Linked DNA regions of Bombyx mori. The protein of the gene in region 2 interacts with the protein of the main gene of each other region in a pairwise test. Links are inferred from orthologs where the notes say so. Each region holds a gene or a part of one and is shown on either strand. Other genes may lie near its edges. The genes, in order: probable DNA replication complex GINS protein PSF2 and DNA replication complex GINS protein SLD5.

Region 1 (9,547 bases), on a different chromosome or scaffold from region 2:
GCCACGTACGAATAAGCAACCATAGCTTATTACATTTGAATTTTTGTAAGCAACCACAGAGATTAAGCCGTAAAAATAGTTAAAATTACGTCAACAAATAATGCTTACAGGAGTCAGTGAAAAACTATGAAATATATAAAATTGTATACTTATACAAAAGTTCGTAACAACAGTCATAAGATAGTATGAAAGTTCTGTGCAAGCGGCAGAGGCCAAGCGTAATTACAATAATTCACTTTACACTCCACAAGGGACGTAGATATATGAAAATGTTAGTTCATTGTTCTTACCGGAGTAATTAGCAGTTTAAAAAATATCTCCTCTTTGGAACAGCACTTCCGTTTCATTTTTATCTTTGTTTTGACTATACCCCCTTCATAAATCAATGATTTTCTATGAATCGACGCGTCTTTTATAAGTCGAGTCGAAATTTTGTGATATCATAGTTAATATACATAAATTAGTAAATATACCATAATATTAGAATTGAAAGTTCATCTTATAAGAAGGGATCTCTTCCAGACGATTGGATAATAAAGACAAAAAAAGAAGTGATGTATAAATTAATTGTTGTTTGCACTTGAATGAAATATTTCTACCATAGCACCGTCAACGTACCTCAAATGACTTTTGTGTATTTTGAACTAATAGGTGTATTTAATGAATTTATTCTGGACATGTTACAAACAAAAAACATTAGTTTCGTTTAATTAAGAACTTGGAAAATACTGTTAGTTGTGACTCTAACCGCCACCTTTTGTGGAAATTTGAAACTAGTAAACGTAATGGAAGTACATACGTATTGAAAATAGATGTCGCTAGATGCATCGAATGTCACATTTGACATATTTATGGCGCGAAAAAACGCCTTAAAACAGAATGGGTTTTAAATGACTAGCTGAATTTCCGGGCGCGATCTCACGAATTTGTATGCAGATTTAAGAAGAAAGATGTTGAATGTTGTTGCTCGGAGACAATGTGTTTTTCGCTCGTGCAGACACATCTGTTATTTATTTGTCGCATTCAAGACAGGTTACTTTTATAAATCTCCAAGATGTTTTTTATCTGTGACGTTTTTATGTTTCGTGAAATCGCTGAATGCTTTTTCTTCTTGTGATTATTTCACTGTAGTATGTTTACATATTTCAAAGGTTTACCAGAAAATAAATGAAATATTAGTATTTTCTATGATAAAAGATAGACTCTACAGATTAAATATGATTCGTTCAAAATAAAATTTATTGCCATTTTCATAGTGTCGAATAGGTGCGTTACTAAAAACTCCGACGAAATAGTAGACTTAGCACTGAAATTGGGCGAATGAAATACATAGTGATCAGTTTATAGACAGAGCAATGTATGTGTTTTTTCCAAACTAAGAGACGCATAAACTTACTGTTCTCTCTGACACAAGGGGGTGAGTCCCCACCAATAATATAGAGCCATAAATATCACCCGTCTGAGACATTGTCAACCGGCTACCCTAATTTACGAGGAGTAATTAGGAGTTTGCACTCTGCCAAAACGATTTGCATCGATCGCCACTCGTAAATGACGTCAATAATTTTAAATGGTAATTTCAATGTTTTACTTTTATGCAGAGAGATGAAGAGTGAGCGAGTTTCGCGTTTTATTTCAGGATTATGCTAACGACTAAATTACATGTAAGGCTAACTTATGCAATTTGAGTTTAAATTAAGCAATTCACAAAAATAATACCCACTTATTTAATGTTCTTTATTTACGATTCCACTTAAAATTGTTCTATAACTACGATTTTTTTTAAAGTAGATTTTTTTTATTTTAGTGCCACCTAGTTCAATCATCTGAACTACGCCAGCTTTAGTGAAAACAAACCATCTATGTCAGTTATTTAAATGTAGCATAGATGACGCTTAAATAAGCAAATTTAAAGAAAACATGTAAATTAAAACTTAATTACCTACTTCCAGTATCGCCATTCATACAGCTATTTAAAACACTGGATTTATGAAACTTATTTCATAAATTCGATCTACTAAGTCGTATTATTTAAACGTTATTCCCGCCAATTTTCCTTTTTTTTAAGGGATTTTATGAACTGGTAACTAAGACTTTTAGGTCATTTTTCGTATTTTCGTATTTTAATTTATATTCATAGTTTTATGAAAAATGATAATATGGAGTGAAATGAAATGAAAATAATTAATTTGAGACATTAATCAACTGGGATGAAATATAATCTCAGTAAAATGGTGGTCACTTACCGCCAAAAAATCTGCATCACTATGTCAGTATGTCAAAGCATAGAACACTTACTATTTGAGTTTCAAAGTCAAACAATTAAGCTCTATAAACAAGAGTAAATATCAGTGGTCTCGAACCTACCGATTTTTCGGTATATCTACCGATATGGGCACTGATCTATTGAAATACCGAAATAAAATGATTTTTCTACGATTTCAGAGTATACATGGAAATTCTCCCGATTTTTCTACCGATTTGACACTTTTAGACATTATTGATCCAAAACATGTTAAAATTGGCAAGACTACTTCGATACTACTTAAAAGTAGGCTCTTTCCCAATATTGTTCAGAGCAATGATTTCCAGGAAATTGATAGAGTAGCGCATTTTAAGAAATTGTGAATAAATCAAAACATTTCCTAATGATGTAGAACTATTTTGGGAAGAAGTAACTTTATTAAAACGTGGCGATGAAACTCAAATGTTTCCTTTGTTGTCTAATTTCATCCTTAATATTTTATCACTTTCCTATTCATCCGCTAACGTTGAACGCATATTTATTCTTTTGAAAACAAAACAGCGAAATAGGCTGTCTACTGAGTCAATCACTGGTCTATTACATGCAAAACGACTCTATAATACAGCTAATTGCTATGATTTTGAAATTAATTCAACGATGACTGCAGCTATGGCCAAACAATATTGGTATAAAAAATATTTATTCTTAAATATGATTGTTATAAATTAGTATGTAAGTTTTTTTTTCAATAAATAAACGCATTTGATTGAATATTGTATATTTTTTGACTAATACCGATTTTGGGTACAAAATAGTACAAATGTACCGATTTTAGCTGGCAAGTCTACTAATCTCGCTCTATGACGTTTGAGATCAGTGATAAAGATAAGGCGACTTTTTGGCGGGAACGCGAGGAGTGAAGTTGTGTGTTTTGTTTTATTTTGTCTATTTAGTGTTTCTTGGGTTTATATGTGTAATAATGGTGGTTTATTAACTGTTTAATATCTGTGAAAGTGCAAAAATGTGGGAAAATGAAACAAAGCCGCTGGACGTCACTTCTCGGGATCCTCCAAAAGTCCAACGAAAAAATCTCAGTAAATGACCACCATTTTACTGAGATTATAGTTCATCCCATATCATCTCATCTCATTTCATTTGATTTCATCCCAGTTAATTAATGTCTCAAATTAATTATCTTCATTTCATTTCATCATTTTTCATAAAAATAAGAGTATAAATTAAAATAAGACATGACTTAAAAGTCTTAGTTACCAGGTCATAATATAAAATACCTAAAAAAATATGATAAATAAAAACATGATAAAGGTAGGTAATATTCCTAAATTTTTAACCAAAATGAATTAAATTAAATATATGTATATTATTAAATGATTATAAATTATTAAAACCATAAAAATAATAATGGAACCTTATGAAATCGAGTTTATTGGTGAGAATCGGATAATCAGTATAACACCAAACTTTACCCATGATAAAATATACTTGATATGCGGTGAATTTGGTCCGTTTCGTGCTGGTTTACCTGTGAACGTACCACTCTGGCTGGCTATCATGCTAAAGCAGAAACAAAAGTGCCATGTTATCCCTCCTGACTGGATGGACGTGGAAGTTTTGGAGAATATTAAAGAAGAGGAAAAGCGTTCCAGGTTTGTCAATATATTTAATAAATTTGGTTTTTTACAAAACACACCAGTTTCAAAACTTTGATCTTTCTAGGTGGTCCAGTTTATTCCAGATACAATTTAATATTTTGTTTATACAACTTCCATGTCTTAATTTTAAATCAAAAAGTATATTTTATTATTATGGTTTATGTTATAAATACCTTCTAGAGCCATCCATTCTAACACTGATACTAAACAATAACTATTAGTGGTCTACCTGTTAATAAATCTCAAATTGTAACATGATTAAAAAACTTGAAGTTCATTGGTCAATAAATATATCTTTGCCAGTACTCATGAAAGGGTGTGTAAATATAAAATCTATCATTAAATGGCGTTTGAGAATTATCAGCAAGATAAAGCAAGTAGTTGTAGTAGTCAAAGTTTTCACATTAAATCTTCCTAAAATTATCAAACTACCAGATTCTTCACAAAGATGCCAAATGAACACTATATGGTGGAAGCCAAACTGATACTTGGTTCAGCTGCCGAAGATGTTCCCAATGCACCAGAAATAAAGACTATTATCAAAGACATCTGGGATATAAGAATGTCTAAGTTACGAACATCAATGGATGCATTGATGAAAACTGGAGGTTTGTAATGATTCCTTTAAAATACTTTACTTTTAAGTACTTTTAACTTACATTTTAAAGATTTTTGAATTGAGAGGATTTTATATTTTATTTTATTGTAACTGATGATATTGTAAACCTGCATGGATCAGAAAGCCTATAATGATGATATGTGGTCTTCGGTAACAACTTAACACCAGAATGGTATGCTTAAATTAAGATAAGAAAAAAATATAGAATGTGACTTACTCAGTCATAAGTTAAATTCAGGACATTTATAATTGACATTTTCAGGTGGCTATGGCAGATTAGATCATTTAACAATGATGGAAATAAACTCAGTGAAACCTCTTCTACCTGCTGCTATGGACAACCTCTTAAGGATGCAAATGGTAAGAACATGTGTGACAAATTGTAATATACTCTCCTTTAGACACATCCTTCTGTATTTTCATCTCCACTTTGTCCTTTTTACGAATATCTCTGAATGTATGTACCATCCTTCGGACCATCTTATACGTGACACATTTATGCATTCTACTCTGAAGGATCCTTGGATTTCTGTTCTAGACTTCACTCTCGTGTCCTAGTAGAAGGGCAAATCACATTGTTGTGATGATGATGTGTGTTACCAAAACTAAAACTGTGAGTGTGCAGTGAGTTCAGCTAACCTAAGGTTTAGTAACTACGGTAATTTGGAGTTTGTAAACCTGGTCTTATCAATATCATTGTTAAACTTAAATTCGGTATTGAAGATTTTTTTATTTGTTTTATAGAGTAAATTACAGTAAGCTGTCTTTAGACTTTCAACTGTAGTTTTGACAAAAATAATTTGATAGGCAGTACACGCACAATGTCCATATCAGTGAATCTACACTGGATCTAGTAGATCTGAAGACACTCTTCTTCAGTCTTCTTGTTGTCATTTGGTTGTCCGTTAGATGCTTAGCAAGGTTATTTGGGTGGGCTTTAAAATTGAAGATCTGAGTGCAATTATTCTTATATGTACTTGCAGTACAGTTTTGTAACAAATAATCAACTTTTTGTTTTACAGAAAACGAAAAAGACAGCACCATCGCTCAATTTAAATAGTTCAACCTTCAGTCAATCAGGGAGCTCTCAAAATACATAGTTTTAAGTGTAGTTAAGTGTAGTTTAAGTTTAGTAAGTTCTTAATACTTTTTAATGATTTTGTAACAAAGTGGTTGGTAACAATCAAAAAGTGGTAATAACATTAAAAACACTTATTGTAACCTTGTTTTTATTCTTTTTAGATATTTAAAATTGCATGCATTTAGAGTTGATCTTATTATATTAAACATTTGATAACCTGTTGTTTTAGACCGAAACCTCAAATCTCAACAGTTTTTATTTTTCACTGCCTAATCTTCGGTAGCCTACGGGGCTGTTCAACTACGCGCGGACCATTAGGTGGGCTCATGGGCACAACCTGGAAAAATATGCTAACACCAGCCCTAACAAAAGCAGTGCTTCGCAGAATCTACCACCGGATCGGAACCGCGACCCACTTAGAAGATCCGGCGGGAAATTAAGTGGGCTGTGTCTATGGACTAGCTCGCACGTCGAACTCTTCAGTTCAGTTCGTCAACGCGTCAGTAATCGATGAATTCGACGAAGACAATGACCACTGCTTAAAGACCTAAAAGCACCGAGAGCGGATGTTGAGGACCCGACAAGATAAATTTTGGGCGACGGCGGCTGCCTTGTCCCGTCGCCTGGGTGCGATATGTAACAGGTCTACAAAAAAAATTATTTTTTTCTACTTTTTTTTCATAGATGAATTCATTATATTTTGTGCTCCAAACACGGAATCTGACATACAATTAGTTACCACACGTAGATTCCCATATAATATTTATTTAATTAACAAACAATATTATTAAAATATCAATTATCATAACGAAATGAAAACATATTTCGGTCTAAGTTTTACAGTGAAAAATCTGAAATTATAGTCACAAAATGAATATATATCGGTCAGTTATCTCATTATATGGTGAGAAGATTTATTTTGTGGTTTTTTTATTTGTCATCGTTTCTATTGGAGTTTCTCAGCGAATTGACCAACAGAAATCAGCAAGCACTGCTGCTGACCATTTCCCACTGTAGCGTTTTTCAATGTGCATTATATCCTGATGAAACCTTTCACCATATTCATCTGATACGGCTCCAAGATTTTCAGGAAAGAGATCTAAAAGAGAGTCGGAAAAATAAATCTTGAGTGACATATTGCATCCTAAAGCTTTATAAGCAAAAAGAAGCTCCCGAATGATTTGTCAGTAGTTCTCACTTTTTCTGTTCCCAAGAAAATTATGACAAACTTTCACAAAAGCCGCCCAAGCTCTTTTTTCTGCTTCGTTCAACTTCGAATTAAAATTTTCATCTTTCATTAGCTCACGTAAGTATCTGTTGATCTACAAAAATTTCTTCCTTCAATTTTGCGTCACTGATTCGAGGAATTTTGGTTTTTAGATATTGAAATTATTCATTGATATTAATTTTAGATATAGTTTTTCTTGAGTCCCAACCTTATGTGAGTGGTGGCAGAAATTTTTTCTCACTTGGCACCAAAGGTTTCTGAGACACATTTTTAAGCCCAGGATTTAAAGTTTTTATCTTGCGTGACTGTCCCACTCACAAAGAAAACGGCAAAACTTTGTGTACCCTCATTGTAATCCGGTGAGTATAGCGACGACTTTTAAATCAGCACAAATATTCCATAAGTAGTTTGAGTTCCATAAAGGTTTGAAAAAAAAAACATATCAAAAAATCTAGACGTGATGGAAAAAATCGGCCAAGGGGTATAGATTCAGAACATTTAAATCGTCATATTTATGACAAAAAATTTTAAAGGAGGATTTCATTGCATACCTGTGTAATTAGCGGTGGCCATTAAAAGAGATTTATAGTGTGGTGCCACTTTATAAAAGTTGTGTTCTGACGCTTCCAGATCGGTTTCGCTTAAAAATCCGAGGTATTGCTTACCCCTGCTATTACCTGTCCCTTTATTATTATTTTTTCGGGCCGGAGGCCGAACCTCCTACGAGATCCCCGGCGGGGTATGTGGGGCTGGTCCGCGAATGCGAGACCGCGGGCCCAAGGAATTTTAGGACCGTACCGCACTAAATGACCCCTGCGTTCTTACACCCGACGTCCGATCTCCGTCTGGGGTCAGAACCCGGTCAGAGTAGGGAGGTTCCCGCGGTCAACGCTACAACCAGACACGCGGCGCCACCCCGAGGACGCCCGACCGACGAGTCGTCGAGGCGATAGTCAACGACCAACGACGTCGGTCTCCGCGGTACGGCGGCCCTACCAGGCCGCCTCGCGCTGGTGTTCCGGGATACCCCGCTGGGCCAGAACCAGCCTGTCGGAAGGCGATACACCGCCGAGCGGGTTGCTACTACTACCTGATCCCTACATTAACAGTTCCATATTGGTGTTATTTTCTGTCAATATAGTTTCGTTTTAACAATCCCTTACAATTGCTTTGTATAGAAATAAAATAAAAAATTCATAAGAAAAAAATATATTTCTTCTGAAAACCAAGATTTACAATTCTTCACTTAAATGTAAAAAAGTAGAAGACGCAAACTACGAACCTAATTAATTGCTCTGTTAGTCTTATTTATGTCACTATAAGGTACTTATTAAATTTAAATGCACTTAGCCTAGATTATAATCTAGATAGGCAGCTTCAATTAATAAACTATAAAATATTAATTTATATTTTTATCTATCAAAGAAATATTGAAATTTAATATAATTATGTACCTACATAAATTAAGGATTATTTAATCAAAGATACAAACAAACGGTCAATGAACTTAGAATTCAGTCATGTATTTTCAAACAGAAGCACAGGGATATTAATCATTTTCTATGTTTCCAAAAGGTGATTGGTCTAGTATATTATAAAACGACCATTTGTTTTAAAGTAAGATTCCTTTAAATGTATGTTCCATCAAAAGAATTAAACTTGTATTTAAGGAAATTTATGTAAAATAATTACTACAAAAAACCCCATATACTTCTGTTGTTCACAATTATGTATGTATATTACTAGTAGTTAGTTATGGCCATCAATGATTATTACGAATCAAACTTAATTTATAATGTTTTTAACTGGAATGTCACATTTACGGTTGAGATAATTTTACAAAAGAAAGCGTTTCATAGAGATCCTAATCCAAAACATTAGACACACAGATAATATAAAAATCTTAATTTAAATAAACGAGAATTGATAATTATTATGAATACACAAGTTTCAGTTTCCAATGCTGTTAGTTTTTATTGAACAAATTATCAAGTATGACATTTTAATCTGCTGACGTGTCAAGAAGAATTCCTCACGTATCCAAATTTAAAAATAAAACTGTATCAACTAAAAGAAAACATGTTTTAAAAGCAAATAAACCTTACACACAATCTTATGTTACACAGCTTTAGCTGCTTAATGTAGATACAAGTTGATATGCTTCGCTCATGTACAATATACAATTAGGTCTTTGTATACATACTGCACCGTGCTTCAAAACAAAAGAATAAATCATTTATTACATATTGTGAGATTTTTTAATTTGATTAAATAAGCAGATACCTAATTCTTGGTGCCAATCATTCCCCTTAAATGACGTCAGTCTTTAATTCCATTGCATCAAGTGTCCGTGACTTAGAAGCATATAATACCTCTATGGCTGATAAAGCTTATAAACAGCGTCGTGGTTACACGTTTATAACAAACGACGGCTCATTAGTTATCAGTACTCTTGAACAAAATTGTTGCTTTATGAATCTTTATGAACTTAGCAATGACTACCTGCAATACACCACCATCCATCTTTTAACAAAGACAAAAACATTTTACGCACTATTAGTTTAGTATACCTAAGACCTTGTATTCATTAGTATCCAATCGCAAAGCTATATCTATACTTTGGTCTAACTCCAGCTTTTAAGAATATGGAAACACTTCGTTGCAAATATCTATAATATGTACAGTTCACATTAAGTATAAC
Region 2 (9,570 bases):
AACACGTGCACATTTTGTCCTCAGTACTGATGCACTGATCCAGAAGTCTATTCGCAAACATTTTGCGGACTGCACCGTTGTCACAGTCGCCCATCGACTACACACCGTTGCGGATTCTGATCGAGTTGTGGTAAGTCAATCGTATTCACTATGGCTTTTTTTTTTAATAATAAATTTGTAATATATTTTAAGTAGTGATATTCACTGGTAAGCCCGTCGCTTTGACCGGTTTGGCTTTTGTATATATATGTGCAGTATCCAGAGGGTTTATTTGCAACAAAAAAATGGACGGTCCATTTTATAAGCATTGACCAATCAACACTTCAAACTGCCGAGCTCGGAGTCTGTTCCAATCCCAACCATATGCTAGATTAACTAATGTTTAAAATAGATAAGCTATTAACAACATATATATTATCCGAATATAATTTTTAGAATCAACGTGAGATTTTGACCTCGTGTCTCAAAGGCGATTTCTATCTGAATTCACGTAGTGAAGTTTAAGAGCTATGATTTATTGTTTAATATCCTTCTTGTCGTGACTTCGTCTACTCGTATTCACAAATTGAAAAACAACGAATTATTAATGGCTGTGCCAGTCTTATGAATGTGCTCAACATTTGCTTGTAGGTCATGGAAGCAGGCCAGATCGTCGAATGTGGCCACCCTTACGAGCTACTTAAGAACGATAACGGGCATTTCTCGAAAATGGTTAAACAATTGGGTCCCGCCTCAGAGCAGAGCCTTAGAGAACTTGCGCGGGACGCACACGCACAACACATACAATACGTCGACGCGGACGACCAGGATAAAACGAAATAACTGAACGTTTTATTACGTAACAGAAACGTTAATATTATGTAACACACGTACTCGCCTATTTGTCATAATCGTCATTACAAATTGATAGGTACTTCAGTCCAAAAAGTGGCAGGCGGCATTCCGTTGTGGTGTCTATGAGCTCAAATAATTACTTAACAACAGGCGAGTCGAAAGCCGGTTTTATGTACGATGTACTTAATGTGTTACTTAAATTTTGATGGTACTTAATTCGTTGGTACAAGATTACTTTCAAATTAATACATTGCCATAGCTGGGCAGCCAAGTTCGAGATACACTTGGTTTTAAAAGATTACAAGTATCCATAGACTCCACAGTTGAATACCCTCGACGAGAAACTACCGCCCGCCTTAAAACGTCAGATCGAAGCTTTAATTGAGGCAACATTCACAGGTTCCCACTGTTTGCTGTAGGTTTTTTTAATGTCGTATTTACTTGATAATAGCATTGGCGATGTTTATATCTAATTAAGAATATTATAAAGTCCCGGTAACACTAACATAGATAAGTAAGAAATTATATCCACCACAACTGTTAAATTACTATTTTAAACGGTTGTCACCAAAGTACACGTCGTGTCTCTAAATTAATAGTGCATGGATATCTTTAGTCCAATTCACATTTACAGGGTCATAACGAACTATTTGTTTAAATTATTTATCTACATATACCTATTTTCACAAAGAGTTTATTTCTGTTACTTTTAAATAATGAGGAAGCTTTAAATGTTACCAATAATAATCATAGTACTTATTTAGTTATACATATATGTATTTAAATTATTTTATTTACAGTCCATATTTAATACTCTATTTATAAGCAATCTTTTAAATTTGTATCTTTGCTTTATGTTTGTACAATGTACATTTTACTATGGCAACATACAAAAAAGTAACTTATTACACAATATGTTGATTATAATAAGGTTTTTATCGAATATATGTAGATTAATGTTTAAATTTTAAGATCTGCTAGTAAGGTGCTGTTCATTATAACCTAACCTAGCCTAGCTAGCCAATAAAATGTATCCAAATTCCAGATATATTTTTGTAAGGAAAAATAGTAAGCTGTCAGATTTAACTTAAATATAAATAAGTGCTTTATGAAAAAATATTGTGATATAATTACAAATAAATTTACATTGTAGTTTTTTAATGTTTCAACTGTCTATTCTTACATAAGTAGTAATTGTAACTTTGAAATATATTTAAATTTTGTGAGATTATAATACTTCAGTACTTATTGTGTACTTACCTTGTATATTTATTATGTTAATTTACAATAAACTGAAAGTAAAAATTAATTTTGTTTAATTTATTAAACTAGCTACAAATGTTTTAAAAATAAATGAAATACAAAGTGTTTACAGAAAATTTACTATCATAACAATGTGACTTTCCCGTTCTTTAAAAGATCTGCAATTGGTTTGTATTGCAAGATGTGCTGCGAGCCCTCTGAAAGAAATAAGTAGTATTAAAGACATTATACTGCATTTTATTTATTCTTAGTCTGAGCCCACACTTTTAGCAAGATTTTTACTTAAATAAAAAAATTTAATTGTAAACAATACAGTAAAACTTGTGGCTGTTATTAACAAGTTAACATTTAGTATAGTGAAAATCATGAACAGGTAATCTTCCACAGAGCAGTAATTATTTCTTGTGAAGCCAGTAGTCCAAATGTTGTTTGAAACTTTTATATATCTTAGATTTTTCTTGTATTTTTTTTTGCATGGTTTCAGTTTTTGCTCAATTTTTGTCCTATGATAGCTACTGCTATTTCAGATTTAAAATTCTATGACATTCCCTAGTTTTCTGAGGAAATGCATAAACTTAGTATTTATATAGATAGCATTACTGCAATTACAAACCTACGAAATTAATAAATTTGACTTTACTGGTGTAAGTATATGGTTGGGCTACATACCTACAATAAAATTTAGACTTTAAATTGAAATGTTAAGGTAATTACAAGCATTTTTACATTACAGCTTTATCATTTAACATCTTACTTACACTTTCACTAGTGGTACGGTGTCTTGTGAGCCTGCATGATGTGTACCACCACCCTGCCTATTTCTGCCATGAAGCAGTAATGCGTTTTGGTTTAAGAGTTGGGGCAGCCATTAACTGAGTCATAAAACGGAGACTTAGAACTCTTGCCTCAAGGTTTTAATTAAAAAAAATAATAATTTTAATTATAGCACAACTTTGCACTTTAGATTAGTTTAAAAGTATAAGATTTTAACTCCTATGGTAAATATCATTCACTGTGTTTGATTTTTTTTTATTTCTGAGATTGCTACATAATGTATGTTCAGAAGTGTTGTATGTGTCAGACATACACAATGTTAAATGTTCACCAAAATCTATAAATACTATAAAAAGTGAATACCTCCTGAGATATGAGGTCTAAGTCTCCATTGTCTAGTATGGGGACTGTCCCCATTCTTCAAACTTCATGACTGCTTTATGGCAGAGACTAATTAATTGGTGACACATTCCCATATGGCCTACCACCAATAATTATGGGATATTATTTTTATTTTGGCAAGTTTATTGTTTCCATAGTGTTATTTCTTTTTTGTGGATTAATCAAACAGAATTAGATTCAATTTAAGACATATATAATCAAATCATTCAATATACCATAATATTATTATTTAAGTCATGATAACTTCAATGATATAGGTGATATCCTGTGGTACAATAGTCAAGGTCATTAAACCAACAAGGGTATTGCTCTATCTATCAAAGTATAACAAAAGAAAACCTATAATGTGTTTCAGTTGTGAGAAAATCAATAACAAACCTTCTAAGTCAATTTCTTCATCTTCACCAGTCAAGTCTTCTAATACAACCCCATTAATGGTTTCATTGGCTTTAAGGAATACATGCGTTTGTAAATTAGGATGTTCTGCCATTTTGTTCATTTCAAAGACTTGCATATTACCAGGCATTTTATTTAATACCACATTTTTCATATGATTTTCCATGTTCAAAACATATTCTTGAGCATATTTATATTCTGATGGTGTTAGGTAATTAGTATCAGTTTCTATTCTTTGTCTTTCTTGGTTTAGTATTGGAATGCAATATTTTTCAATCTTATTCAGTCTAGTTTTAAGATAATTACAAATAATAAATTTAATTCTGCTAATCTCCATTTTGTGTATAGAAGTTCTCAAATCAGTTTTTGAAAGTTTATTTATGTTTCTTTCCATGTGTTGTATTTGACCTAACATACATTCTACCATGTCATTTTGATGAGGGAGTATTTCTGGGGACAATCTTTCATTTTGCCAAGCACTTTGTAGTGTTTTTAAAACAGTCTCAGCTGTTACTTCTTCTTCATCATCACTGAACTGCAACTCTTCGGTTGACTCCATATTCTTCTAAATTATATATACCCACAGAATTCTAGTGCAACTTTAGATTGTCACTGAATGATATTATTCTAGCTTTCACGACTCGAATTTGAGTTCTGGTGTTTTTTAGGTTCTAAAGAGCTTTTTTTACCAATTCATTATAAATTTAAAGAGTATATAATCGCATTCATGTTTCACTACATTACAATCATAGTTTTTTTTTCTTTTATCTTTTTCTTTTATTAAAATTTTCTGTATTTTTGTCTTGCTTTCTGTACTAAACAAATTGTTACTTTATGACATACCTCAATTGTCATTAATTTTTTTTTTCTTCTGAATAGCACGGGATTTTATTTCTACTACCTTTATTGAAATAATAAGTTTATGGTAAAATAATGTAATTTTTTTTCTCACAGATTTTTTTGCTTACTATTTGTTTAAAACTTTGTTGGTTTGAACTAGAGATGGCGTTAACGGTTGAATTTATTTATCTGTTAACTGGTAATTGATAAAAAAAATTACCGATATTTTTATTGGTTGAAAATACCGGTAAATCTTTTCGTTGAAAAATTAATTTTGCTAATGTTAAACTTGAATGGTACTAGCACTTTTCGAAATGATCCCATATTTCTGCATTGCGTTTCGGCATTTTAAATTAGATATACAATTTAAAAATCCACAACAACAAAGTAAGCAAAGTCTCAAACACACAAAAACAAAGTCAAAACACACAAACACAAAGTACAAATCTCTTAAAATACAAAAACACAACTTTACCAAAATAATAGAAAAGATGCACTGAGCCACCAAAATGTCAAGTACCAAACAAAATATTACGTTTAAAAAATCAACCAATCACGTCATCTTCGCGTTCGGTAAAAATATCGTTTCATTTCAATTTTTTAACGAAAAAAATTATCATTAACTGTAAAATACACCAACTTAAATATTGTGCTTTATTTTGAGGGGTATAGAGCATACAATGAAATCATAAAATTCAATATTTTTTACATGATAAGTTGAAGACATCTGCAAGGCGAAAATGAATCTTACGTGTTGAAATAAAGTTGAAACTTGCATAAATATAATTTCCAATAATTGCCTATGCCACTACACGCAGTGTGTTTGGTAAACGGTATTTTTAACCGTTTTGGGTAATTTTATTTATCGAATAGAAGTGTTAATTTTTTTTACCGGTAAATTTATTGGTTATTGGTTATATTAGCCACCTCTAGTTTGAACCAATGTTTTATCTATTTCTATCATAAGTAATACTACGAAGAGTGAGTGAGCAGCTATGAGTCTCGATGATATTTAATATCAAGTTCGATTTCTACAAATGATAATGTTCCTGTATGTTAAGTATGTTTCTCCACTGTGTTCTTGAACAAAGTTTAGTAGTGAAGGAATAACATCGAACGCTGTAATAAAATTAGTATAAGCCGCCATACCATCTTGTTTATTTCTTGTGCAAACCAATCATCATCCTGGTTTGAAGGGTTGAATGGTTAATATTTTTAAATATTTTTTTATTGCTTCATGTTGTGGAAGTCTCAGTAGTAATGGGTGCTCGAGCCATCCTAGTAGGCTTACAGCAAGCCTTATCTTACTAGTAAAATTAGGGATGAAGAGCAAGAAAACGAAAAAAGTCGATATTCAGAAGAGAAAAGCCAGTGCTGACACTATGAAAGAGTGCGTCGCCTCCCACTTAAAACTACATATTATTTTCAAAACTCGTCTGAATATAGCTTTCAGAAATACTTTGCTATAGAGTTCATCCTAGAATTATTTCTAGAAATGAGCTGTGGATGGAACAATGAACTCTACTTCGGACATTACTACTGAAAGTTGTTGTACATGTGCTTGGTACAAGCACACTGACCATCCCGTAAATACATTTACATTATTCATTCTAAATTTTACTTAAAATAGAGCCGTGGGCCGCGGGACACACCTAGTTTGTTTTAAACAATTAATTGCAGTTTTTGTATCGAATAATGTACGTACGTACTAGCGAAGACATTTAATCTTGTTAGCCACATAAACCTGCTTCTTTGAAGTCGCATAACTACATTACCTCAGTAATACAGAGCTGTACTTACAAATATCTGTACTTACAAATAGCTGTACTTTGCAAATATCAACCGTACTATAACGGCGGCACTTAAACATAGTTTATTTTATAAATAACTAAATTTATTACTAAATTTCAAAATTCTGCTGACCGTTTCCTTGAAATTAGTCCACATTAAGCACTTTGCATCTTAAAATTTAGTTTTTTCGTTCCAAAATTTACGTATGTGCTCCATTGCTGCTCTTTTTGGAATCACCCAGATCTTTTGACACAAGTAGACTTTAATCAAAAATGGCTTAGAATCGATTCTTAATATGCAGCTAAACGAGCTAACTTGGACCCATGCATCCCTACCCATCCGTTTTGGTGGTTTAGGGACTCGCAAAATTTCTCGTGTCGCTTTACCAGCCTTCCTATCTTTTGTCCATAGTTCAGCAAATCTCATAAGTAAAAAACTTTGAGATTGCTGGCTTGGAAGAAGCTAGAAACGCTTTCTTAATTGGATGCCCACGTCAAAATTTTCCAGTTTCTCTAAATTCACAGAAGAGCTGGGACGACATAAACTGCAAATTGACATATGACAATCTTTTGAGCTGTAGTACAGGTTCGGCGCGTGCTAGGCTTTTGGCTGTGGGTGCGCACGAGGCCGGCTACTGGATTCACGCGTACCCTTCGTCAAATACAGGAACATTTCTTGAGCCTGACACGCTCCGAATCGCAACCTGTGTACGGCTCGGGGTTCCGGTCTGTGTTCCTCATAAATGTCCCTGTGGCAGTGATGTCGACAAGCTAGGACATCACGGACTGTCTTGCCAAAAAAGTGCAGACCGCTTCTCGCGACATGCCGCACTTAATTATATCATACGCCGGTCCCTTGCCACTGCCAACGTGCCAAGTCTACTTGAGCCGACTGGTATTGCAAGAGACGACGGCAAGAGACCGGACGATATGAGTTTGATTCCATGGAAGATGGGCCGGGTGTTGGTATGGGATGCAACCTGTTCAGACACGCTGGCCCCTTCCCATCTACATGGAACCTACAATAAAGCTGGTGCGGCTTGTGAAGCGGCTCAAAAAACCAAAGCATGCAAATACAGGGTCTAGGCTCGGAATATGTTTTTGTTCCATTCGGTCTCGAGACCCTTGGTCCGTGGGATCCTAGCGCTATAAAGCTTTTTAAGGAAATAGCAAAAAGGTTAGTCGACACCACAGGAGACCGAAGAGCTGGCAGCTACCTTGGACAAAGAATTAGTCTAGCTATTCAAAGGGGGAATAGCTAGACTAATTCGCTGTCAGTATCTTCGGAACCTTGCCTAAAGGGACTCCTTTTAATAATATATTTTAGTTATAAAATTATTATTTTTATTCTTTATTATATAATATTATTTTAATATTATTAATTTAGTATTTAATTTTTAATTTAATATATAACATATATTTTATTATATTAACATATATTTTATGTCTAAGACGGATAATTTTCCACATTAGAATGTAGGTAAAGTAATTATTTCAATTTGGAATAATAAAATCTACTTTCGTTTTTTTTATTCCATTAGCATGAAATATTAATTATTTAATTTAAACATATTATGTTAAACGGTTAAACCGAAAATACAACTTTCTTATATCATACATTATTATTATCATTTTCAATTGTAAATGCAAACCTGTAAAATTCACCCTCAAGATAATAATATATTCACCTTCTAAGACATCGTATATCTTATTATGAATATTGATTTTCCTGCAACGCAACATTAATCCTCGTTAGGTATATAAAACAGAGCCGTACTAGTAAAGACGAGTAGCCTCCACGGCCTCGGCAATCCTGCCACACTTCGCACCACGAGATCGGTTTACTGTAATTAATCTGAAGTTCATTTAATGATTTCCTTCAGTATTTTATACCCATTTCAATACATAATTAAAGTTCACATTCCTTCTTTGTGAGCAAAAAATGACAAGTTATTTTTATTTTAATTGAATTGGAAGTAATTGAATTTAGATTACTATTTCCTAAAATTTCACTTTAATCATTCAGGTTACGTAGTCAACTTTAATAGTGCGAAAATGATTTCCTTGGATCCTGGACCAGGAATGGCAGCTCTCCAGGCGTGGGGTGGTCAAGTGGCTGCCTACGGAGCCGCTAACCAAACCGTTGTCGATAAAGTACCACCTGATATGCTACACATGGTCGATCCTCATTGGTTTGTTGTTAATTCATATTTTATTTTAAATATCATTCAATGTTGTATTGCAATAACAATTCGTAAACTAAAGTGATCATTTTTCAACGACTTCATTTCAGGTACCAATTTCCACCTATGAACCCACTATGGCACGCCCTATTAGGCTTCACAATCGGAGTTCTTGGCTTCATATCAATTTCGGGTAACGGAATGGTCATTTACATTTTCATGTCAACAAAGGTTTGTGAAAATAAATAACTTTTAAAATGCCGAAACTTTACGTCGGTAGATCGATTTTATCTCATGAAATGTACTATTTTCCAGAGCCTTAAAACACCATCAAACCTTCTCGTAGTGAATTTGGCATTCTCAGACTTCCTCATGATGTGTGCTATGTCTCCAGCGATGGTCGTTAACTGTTACAATGAAACTTGGGTTTTCGGTTAGTAAAAATGTTGCGAATAGAGTTTTTGTTTTTAAATAAATTTATTAAACATCATCTCCTTTTAGGACCTTTTGCATGCGAGCTATATGCTTGTGCCGGTTCATTATTTGGGTGTGCCTCGATTTGGACGATGACAATGATTGCTTTCGACCGCTATAATGTTATTGTGAAGGGCATTGCGGCAAAACCAATGACGAACAACGGCGCTCTTCTACGCATTCTTGGAATTTGGGCATTTTCGCTAGCTTGGACTCTTGCACCCTTCTTTGGCTGGAATAGGTGCGTAAACTGATCTTGAGGTACTTCAGAATTAATTGCAATTCAATAGACCACAGAAGTGCCCATGAAATACAAAATATATAATATTTTTTTTCTTCTATTGCTTATATGGGTGGACGAGCTCACAGCACACCTGGTGTTAAGTGGTTACTGGAGCCCATAGACATATACGATGTAAATGCGCCACCCACCTTGAGATATAATCTCTAAGGCCTCAAGTATAGTTACAGCGGTTGCCCCGCCCTTCAAACCGAAACGCATTACTGATAATATGTATATATCGCTCAGCTCAAAAGACTTTTTTAAATTTGCCTTGAGCCTGCTGCCTCAATGCGTAAAATGCATGTGCAACAAAAATATTTTGTTTTTACAG

What was found.
Region 1: the proteins of DNA replication complex GINS protein SLD5 (region 2) and probable DNA replication complex GINS protein PSF2 interact in a two-hybrid assay, tested with the Drosophila melanogaster proteins (2 studies listed by BioGRID). The link is inferred for Bombyx mori from reciprocal best matches to the Drosophila melanogaster genes Sld5 and Psf2.

What each region holds. Positions count from the first base shown.
Region 1 is NC_085116.1:1,522,825-1,532,371, forward strand, and holds probable DNA replication complex GINS protein PSF2, read left to right. Parts: upstream 1-3,134; 5' UTR 3,135-3,667; coding exon 3,668-3,912; intron 3,913-4,353; coding exon 4,354-4,526; intron 4,527-4,799; coding exon 4,800-5,095; 3' UTR 5,096-5,559; coding exon of another isoform or gene 5,560-5,637; 3' UTR 5,638-5,758; downstream 5,759-9,547. UniProt on the Drosophila melanogaster protein: The GINS complex plays an essential role in the initiation of DNA replication.
Region 2 is NC_085121.1:9,242,667-9,252,236, reverse strand, and holds DNA replication complex GINS protein SLD5, read right to left. Parts: upstream 5,426-9,570; 5' UTR 4,229-5,425; coding exon 3,652-4,228; intron 2,970-3,651; coding exon of another isoform or gene 2,947-2,969; exon of another isoform or gene 2,295-2,946; coding exon 2,221-2,294; 3' UTR 2,201-2,220; downstream 1-2,200. Other genes in the region: ATP-binding cassette sub-family C member 4, read left to right, coding at 25-130, 631-822; opsin-1, read left to right, coding at 5,563-5,569, 8,326-8,491, 8,593-8,713, 8,798-8,915, 8,984-9,197.